Linked DNA regions of Caenorhabditis elegans. The protein of the gene in region 1 interacts with the protein of each later gene in a pairwise test. Each region holds a gene or a part of one and is shown in the gene's direction. Other genes may lie near its edges. The genes, in order: mys-2 and ZK899.6.

Region 1 (4,906 bases):
GATTTTTCCGTGATTTTCAGCCAAATCACCTATTTTTCCAGGTACGGAGTCGACAAGAAGAGCCCATCGTTCCGTATAATCGCTCTGCTCAATATGGTGACACTTTTCGCGTTCCGTCTCTGCGTTTCTGCGTATTTAGTCTATTTTGTGGTGAGATTTTGTGCATTTTTCAGTGGAAAAATCGAGTTTTCGATGATTTTTTCACTAAAAACACGGCAAAATTTGCACAATTTCCATGTTCCAGGTGGTCTCAATTCCGGATCTCGAGTGGTATGTATCAATTATTAACGGTCTAGTCATCGCCTCGCTCGCCTCCACAAATACAGTGCTCACTTACCGGCTTTTGGCAGCTGATGGGCTTTTGGGTGAGATTTTTAAGTTTTTAACTGAAAAATTCGGAATTTTCAGCCGAATTTTAGTCGAAACGCCGAACTTTTGAAGAAAAAACGATTTTTTCGAAGGAAAAAGCGAGAAAAAAGTTGGTTGAGGCTGTAGACTACAAACTACAGAACCAGTATAGCCTCAACCACGATGGTTGAGGCTCAGAGGACTTTGTGTAGTTTGTAGTCTTCGAGCCTCAACCATTGTTTTGGAGAAAAAATGCTTTAGAAAACTCCAATTTTCCTTTTTTTTTTCCTTTTTTTTTAAACAATTTTCGATATTTTCAGGCTCCCGACGTACACGAAGAACCCCCGCAGCTACCGCAGAAACACAAGTTGGTGACGTGGAAAGTGGTCCGCTTAGGACACAAGTTGAGGATGAGGTTCGAAATTTTGGATTTTCTCACCCCAAAATTCATCAGTTTTGCGAAATTTTAGTGAAAATTCGAGAAAAATTCGATGAAAATCGCGAAAATTTCAAGCGAAAACCAATTGGTTGAGGCTGAGCTGAATTTGTAGTTTGTAGTCTCTTAGCCTCACTCAAAGATGGTTGAGGCTCAAAGACTACAAACTACAAAAACATCGATTTCTAGGTCATTTTCACGTGATTTTCTCGAATTTTTCACTCATTTCCCGTTTAGATTTCTCGCAAATCGAGCATAATGACTACAAACTACAATTTAAGTCAATTTATTTGTTTTGTTGCAGGACCATCACACAATCGGAGTGCAAACGATTCATGGAACAACAGAAGACGCGACACAAACTGTTTGAACTCACCCCGCCGCTCCCCCAATTGTACCTATTTATCTGTTAAAAATTGAAATTCTTCGGTTTTTTGGTGATTTTTAAGCGAAAAATCGCGAAAATTTGATAAAAATTGGGTGAGGCTCGCCAAATTTTGTAGTTTGTAGTCTATAGCCTCACCCAACAGATTTTCCACCAAAAATCGACGTTTTCAGTACTTTTTCCTGCTTTTTTTGCCATTTTTTTTTCTGTATCTACCGTAATACTTGTTATTTATTGATTTTTCCCCCCATTTTTTAGCCCCAAATTTTTACCAAATCACTCATTCCATGTCTATCTTGGCCGCGCACCAAAGATGCAAACTGTCATTTTGATGATATCACGAAGTTCCACGACGCTTTTCTCTGCTTACAGTATTTATTTTTTTAAATTTTTTTTTTCACACGAAATTGACTCTAATTTATATTAAAAATACTCGATTTTTGATTTTTGAAAATTTAAATTTTTAAATTTTTAACTGTAATTTACGGTGTTTTATATCGAATTTTTCGACCCGATTTTCAGCCGATTTCAGCAAAAATTTCCAGACAAAATGAGCAAACGAGAGCCGAGGAAACGAGCACACGACTCAACAAATGAGGCAGCTGCTCCCGGCGGAAATGACAGTGAACCCCCGCAACAACAAATAATGCCAATAATTAACAAACGATATATGGTCGAGAAATTCATTATTAATACTGTGAAAAAGGTTCGGAAATCGCTTTTTTTTTTTTTGTGAAAAAATCGATTAAAAACCAGAAATTATTGTTGATTTTTCCTGAAAATTTTCGAGAAAAATCTCTTTTTTTTCCATTAAAAATCAAATTTCCAGGTGGTCGCCGTAATTATACACATTGATTTTCGAAAACCGCCGCAAGAAGTCCGCACGAATAACTATAAATCCATTGAGAATCACGAGCAAGGAGCGAAAGAGCTCATGTATTATGTGCATTATGAGGAGTTGGATCGGAGGAATGATGAATGGATTACGCTGGACAAGTTCGTGTGGAGAAAATTGCAGAAAAATGGGCAAAAATCTATGAAAATCGCGAAATTTCGAGCAAAAACGTATTTTGGTTGAGGCTGAGAAATGTTGTAGTTTGTAGTTTGTGAGCCTCACTCAATGATGGTTGAGGCTCGAAGACTACAAACTACAAAAATAGATAGCCTCAACCAAATGCATTTCGCTTAGAAATTCCTCATTTTTTGCAGATTTTGTTTTTCAAATTTTCACGATTTTTGTAGTTTGTAGTGGGAGAACCTCACCTAGAGGCACTACAAACTACAAAAATATTAGCCTCACCAAAAAATGTTGTAGTTTGTAGTTTTAGCAAAATCTGATAAGTTTTTTTGAAAATGTTTAAAAAAAGCTAAAATTTGCAATATTTTGAGCAAAAACGTATTTTGGTTGAGGCTAAAATATTGTAGTTTGTAGTCTCCGCGCCTCACTCAAAAATGGTTGAGGCGCTGGGACTACAAATTGCTAAAACTACAAACTACAACATTTTTTGGTGAGGCTAATATTTTTGTAGTTTGTAGTGCCTCTAGGTGAGGTTCTCCCACTACAAACTACAAAAATCGTGAAAATTTGAAAAACAAAATCTGAAACCAAATCCATTTCGCATCAAAATTCTCTCATTTTTCGCCGATTTTTCTCAAATTTTCACAATTTTTTGTATTTTGTAGTCACTTAGAGAGACTACAAACTACAAAATTCGAAAAAATTATCGATTTTCATTCAGAATTCTCGTAAACGAAGTGGTAGTCGAGCCGGTGATCAAAGTGCCCACAAAAGCGCCTGTCGAAGATCTACACAAGGAAATTGTCGTCGGACCGCCCGTCATAAAGCCATCTGGAGCCCTAACACGAAGTCAGCGGAGGACATTGGAAGAATATTCACATTTAAAAACGGATCTTAATGATTTGGACGCCACGACCGCCCGGCTAGAACGGGAACATGAAGAAGTACGGGATTTTCTGAAGAAAATTCGAAAAAAATCGAAAAAATTGGTTGAAAATCACAATTTTCTCAATTTCACTCCAAAAAGTGCCAAAATCTGGAAAATTTCATTAAAAAAGTACCCTTTTTTCACCCGAAAAACACGATTTTTTCTCCTTAAAAACTTGGTTGAGGCTAGGATTTTGTAGTTTGTAGTGTATAGCGTCAACCAACATTTTTTACTGTAAAAAAAGTGAATTTTTCAATGGAAAACCCACTTTTTTGAGCTTTTTAATCGAATTTTCAAATTTTTAAGTCAAAAAATCGAGATTTTAAGTCAATTTTTGCATTTGAATAGATTTTTTTCCCATAAAATCCATCCGAATTCCCCCAAAATTCTTTTTTTTTTTTGAAGAAATACGGGACTTTTGAGAGAAAAATCGAAAAAAATCGAAAAATTTGGTTGAAAATCACAATTTTCTCAATTTTCGCTCCAACATGGGCCAAAATCTGGCAAATTTCATTAAAAAACACCCTTTATTACCCGAAAAACACGATTTTTTCTCCTGAAAAACTTGGTTGAGGCTAGGATTTTGTAGTTTGTAGTGTATAGCCTCAACCAACATTTTTTAACTGTAAAAAGTGCATTTTTCAATGGCAAACCCACTTTTTAAAGCTTTTTATCAAGTTTTCAAATTTTTAAGCCAGAAAATCGAGATTTGAGTCACTTTTTTTGCATTTAAATCGATTTTTCCCATAAAATCCACCCGAATTCACCTAAATTCTTTTTTTTTCTGAAGAAATACGGAATTTTTGAGAGAAAATTCGAAAAAAGTCGGAAAATCTGCTCAAAAAAGTGTAAAATCCGCTTTTTTTAATAGAAAAATCAAATAAAAATTGGTTGAGGCTTGAAATTGTTGTAGTTTGTAGTCTATAGCCTCAACCAACATTTTTTCAATGTAAAACGTGAATTTTTCAATGGCAAACCCACTTTTTAAAGCTTTTTAATCAAGTTTTCAAATTTTTAAGCCAGAAAATCGAGATTTTAAGTCAATTTTTGCACTTTTATCAATTTTTCCCCCTAAAATCCTACTTTTTTTGCAGCGTACAAAAGTGAAGAACATACCACAAATAACGATAGGCGCTCACGAGATTCTCGCCTGGTACTATTCACCGTTTCCGCCTGACTGTGAAAATTTGGACATTTATATGTGTGAATATTGCCTACTCTACACACCTCATCACGAACGATTCAAGCAGCACATTGATGTGAGAAAATGCTTTTTTTTTGGCAGTTTTTCCCGTAAAAATAGCCAGAAAACCGGAAATTTGGCCCAAAAATACGAAAAATCGATCCATTTTGTAGTTTGTAGCCTTTTTTCCGCACAAATTTGGCCTAAAAAGCTCCAAAATAAGTTTTTTTTTTTCCCAAAAAAAATTCCGGCTCTGGCTCCGCCCACAAAATGGAAAAAATAATCCGAAAAAGGGCGTGGCTTAGGCTCCGCCCATAAAATGGTTATGTAGTTTGTAGTCGTTTTACTGAATAATTTTCTAAAAAACTCTAAAATCAGCATTTTTCTCGAAAAATCCCATGAAAAACTGCATTTTTGGCCTTAAAAACTGGGCGTGGTCAGACAAGCTCCGCCCACAAAATGGGCGTGTTCATACAGGCTCCGCCCATAAAACGGTTTAAAAAAACCGAAAAATGTGCATATTTTTCCCATTTTCTCTTTTAAAAAAAGTTGTAGGAATCTGAAAATTTACTTTTTCTTCTATAAAGGGGCGTGGCTTAACACAGGCC
Region 2 (3,809 bases), on another chromosome or scaffold:
AAATGCTCATTTAAAAAAATCCTATTTACATGTCCGTGTTTGTGAAAAAACTACTTGAATAGATTTAAACACAAATACACTTTTTAGTACATTTGCAATAATTAAACAAAATTTGAAGATGAATATCACATATAATTAAATATATTCGCTATCTGTGTTTCCAGAGCACAACTATTGTTTTCAAATCTCGCGTAACTCATTTCTAATTGAAGTCAGACTAAAAGTGTTCTTTCTCGTTGATGTATACTTTTTTATCGATAAATTAAGTAACTATTTGTTGTAAATGCGCAATTTTTTTTGAGAAAACATCAGTTTTTGTCACGAATTGATTGGTAATATTTTCTGATCGAAGTAGGTACAAATCACTTTTGACTTTGATTGAAACCCATTTTTTATAAGACAAAACCGGCAATTGCCGAAGTTGCCGATTGCCGGGAATTTTGAAAACCGGCAATTGCGGGAATTGCCGATTGCCGGAAATCAGAATTGCCGGAAATGTAAAGTTGATACTTCTTTGTAGATTTACGAGCCTAAAGAGGCATTTCAATGAACAATTTTCTCTTTTCAAGCTCGAAATGTTTTAATCCTACAATGATTTACCATTTTATTTAAGAAAATGACTGATCGAATACTATAAAACACTGTGAACATTTTCACTTTCCAAAATATAATTAGGTTTGAAAATTGCCGAAAATGTCCGGCAATCGGCAATTTCGGCAATTTCGGCAATTGCCAAAATTGTCCGATTGCCGCGCAGCCCTGGTTGAGAGGACACTTTCTTGGTAGACAAAGTTTATTCTTTATTTTTTTGGAAACAGTTTTTCAGAAGATAAAACCCTTACGAAAAATAGAAAAGTGAAAAGCAGAAACAGTTATTTTTCAAGAAAACGGCGGGGAACAATTTGAACAGTCAAATAAAATCTCCGATTTTTTTTTCTTTATTGATTTGCGTTTGTTCAAATGATTTTAGTTATAATTTTATAATTTTAATTCGTATCTTTACCTAAGGATCCTTACAACCTGATTCCGAGAAACAAGTAAAACTTAATCATTACTCAAGCATAACTTATTGATTCAAACACGCTAATAATAGAAGAATGAAAAATGAATGCGGTCTCAATAAGCAGAAACTTGAAAAGTTCACCACACGTGTCTTTCTTTGAGTATCTTCAAGAAAAATCATAACATGTGAATCTGAAACATACGAACTTTCGATTGAAGTTCAGTTTTTAAATATAAAATCTTCGTATTTATATTAAAATGCATGTTTAAGCTCAATTCATGCTTTGATCTTCCATTTATCAGTTTTAATTTTGTGAAAATATATATGTCGCAAACTGTACCCCAGCTTAAATACAAATCTTAAGTCCATCATCAAGTGTTACAGTTCAAAATACCCAAAATCTGTCTTTTTTGTTGTAACTAATTTATTGTTTCCATCGTCTTTCTTGGTAAATTTCTTATAATGCACTAGTAGGTTTTTGAAAGTATCGTCATTTCGGAAGACAGAGTGTCAATATGACATGTAGCCGATTATCTGTTTTTTTTATTCATAATATTGTTTAAAATCCTAATTTCAGCCCTAATTTGACAATTTTCAGAATGACTCCCGTCACTAGCATTCCTCACAGAATTTTCGACATTTGGAGAACTCCAATAAACATCAACACTTGTCGCAGTTTCTTGAGTAAGCTACAACCTAATCCAATTTCTTGACTAATAGCGTTTCTTCAGATATCCACAAGTTACAGTGCTCAGATTGCAGTTCAAAGTTCGATTCGGAAATCCCATTTATTCAGCATATTGATGAATGTCTCGAAAATGCAAAACGCGATTTGAATGTAAGTCAAATCTTTGTAAAATTAAAATTCAATTGTTTTCTACTTTCAGTATCACATGCACATGCACGGAAATCGTCTTTTAATGATGACTCAACGTGTTTCTGAATTGTATGAAGCATCTGAGTGCAAGAAGTGTGGAATGTGTATGGAACGTTTCAACGAAGAAGCCAAAGTGATTATTCATTCCAAACAATGCACGAACTACAAATCCGAGTACTCAACGTTCATTCAAAATTCAAAAGCTCTATTTGGAAACATGCTTACTTCATATGATAGTCTCTGTAATCTCTTCCAGTACTTTGAAACTGATGAGCGCATCATTCAAATTAGAGAGGATCTAAAGCAGCCATTGCCCGAAGGAGTTATCCCAAATTTGGAGCCTGTTGGACCTGATCTTCATTTCGATGAACTCTCGGAGTACTTCATTGAAAAGTACCAGGATTACATGATTGACGTTTCGAATATGATTGATGTCGTCTTTGTTCGTTATTTGATCAAGAAACAGAAAGATGAAAGAACTGGAAGTATTGTCTACTCTTTCCCAACTAAAAGAATGTCCAGAAGCATTGATCACATGGAAGACGCTACTGACACAGAAACTTCCGATGTTTCAGAGGATGAGCAGGTGGAGGAATCTGATTGGGATGAGTATGATTCTGATAAATTGGACGACGGAGAAGAAGATATCAACAATGAAGGTATGGAGATCGTCTACGCTGCTGATCAGGAAGTCAATGAAGAATCGTTTGAATTTGAAGACTTTGACGAGGAAATGATTGATGTCGAAACCATGTAAAACTTCTCAATTTAAAGAACAAATTTTTGTTTTTGTTACAAAGCTACCATTGCTGAACTGAGTTGTGCTCAGTAAATTTGAAGTAATTCCGTTTCAGAAAATAACTTATTTTTTGCTCCATTCTTGTTCCAATCTTAGTTTATTCACTCATTGATCTCTTTGACTTAATATGCTTCTTGATTCTCCTTCTCTCTTGAATAACTTGCTTTGTAGTTTTTTGTTTGTTTGTTCACTTGTTCACAGCATTGCACTGCACCTTTCTTTGCTTGATTGTCATTGCCTTAATGATTTAAAACCGCACTTTTACAATAGCATGAAATAAAATCACTTTTTACATTTCTCAACACACAAGTTCTCAAATATTACAAATGTAGAAAATATGCAATTTTATCGAAATGAGGCAGCATTTGCATTGACATCGTTGAAGAGTACATATTTTTATTGTTGTATGATTGTTCGATCTAAACTTCAGACAATTGTTTAGCAATCAGAAGTTTAACAACATAAATCATGACTCTCCATGCTCCGTGATCAGGAAATGACCCTCTAAACAAGTTAATGATTTGAAATGGTTTATGGGGGAATAATATAAACTTTATTTGTTTTCATCTAGACTTGATAATATTTGTGTGTCCTCCCGAAACACAACAACAATGCCGTCTGGTGCCCCTTCGACCTATACATAAACAAGGTCACGATCAATAAATGTGACGTGTCGAAATTTTCAGAAATGTGTTATTCATCTAACAGTTGCAGAACTTTCCAAGTTTTAGAAAATTAATAATAATTTTTGTAAGTGTTCTTTGGTATAGAGAGCATATAGTTTTTTCTGAGAAAAAACTTCGAACAATGTTTTTTTCACTTACAAAAATTTAACAGAACCTGTTGGCTTCAAAGGTATATATTTTTAGTCGTGTTTCTCTGTAAATTAACTTCTTTCAGTTAAATATCAGGCAGTACAGTCTTTGGGAGAACACTTTGGAATCAACTCAACTCAAAGTATTAAAAAAATTAACAATCCGGCCAGCGGCTCTTAGAAATTAATTTTAGAATTATTTCTGCCTTTTAGAATTATTTCTGCCAATACGAAAAGTCGTATTTTACTTTGCAAGAGTATGTAGTGAAAAGTTGCAACGATTTTTCAAAAACGGAATTCTTTTCCGAAAAAATAT

Evidence for each region.
Region 2: the proteins of mys-2 (region 1) and ZK899.6 interact in a two-hybrid assay, tested with the Caenorhabditis elegans proteins (one large-scale study listed by BioGRID).

Annotation. Positions count from the first base shown.
Region 1 is NC_003279.8:14,117,039-14,121,944, forward strand, and holds the start of mys-2 (Histone acetyltransferase), read left to right. Parts: upstream 1-1,714; 5' UTR 1,715-1,719; coding exon 1,720-1,875; intron 1,876-1,998; coding exon 1,999-2,165; intron 2,166-2,908; coding exon 2,909-3,131; intron 3,132-4,209; coding exon 4,210-4,374; intron 4,375-4,906. Other genes in the region: TLC domain-containing protein fld-1, read left to right, coding at 42-150, 245-365, 669-763, 1,089-1,154.
Region 2 is NC_003284.9:9,461,754-9,465,562, forward strand, and holds ZK899.6 (C2H2-type domain-containing protein), read left to right. Parts: upstream 1-1,591; 5' UTR 1,592-1,602; coding exon 1,603-1,687; intron 1,688-1,734; coding exon 1,735-1,841; intron 1,842-1,890; coding exon 1,891-2,637; 3' UTR 2,638-2,988; downstream 2,989-3,809.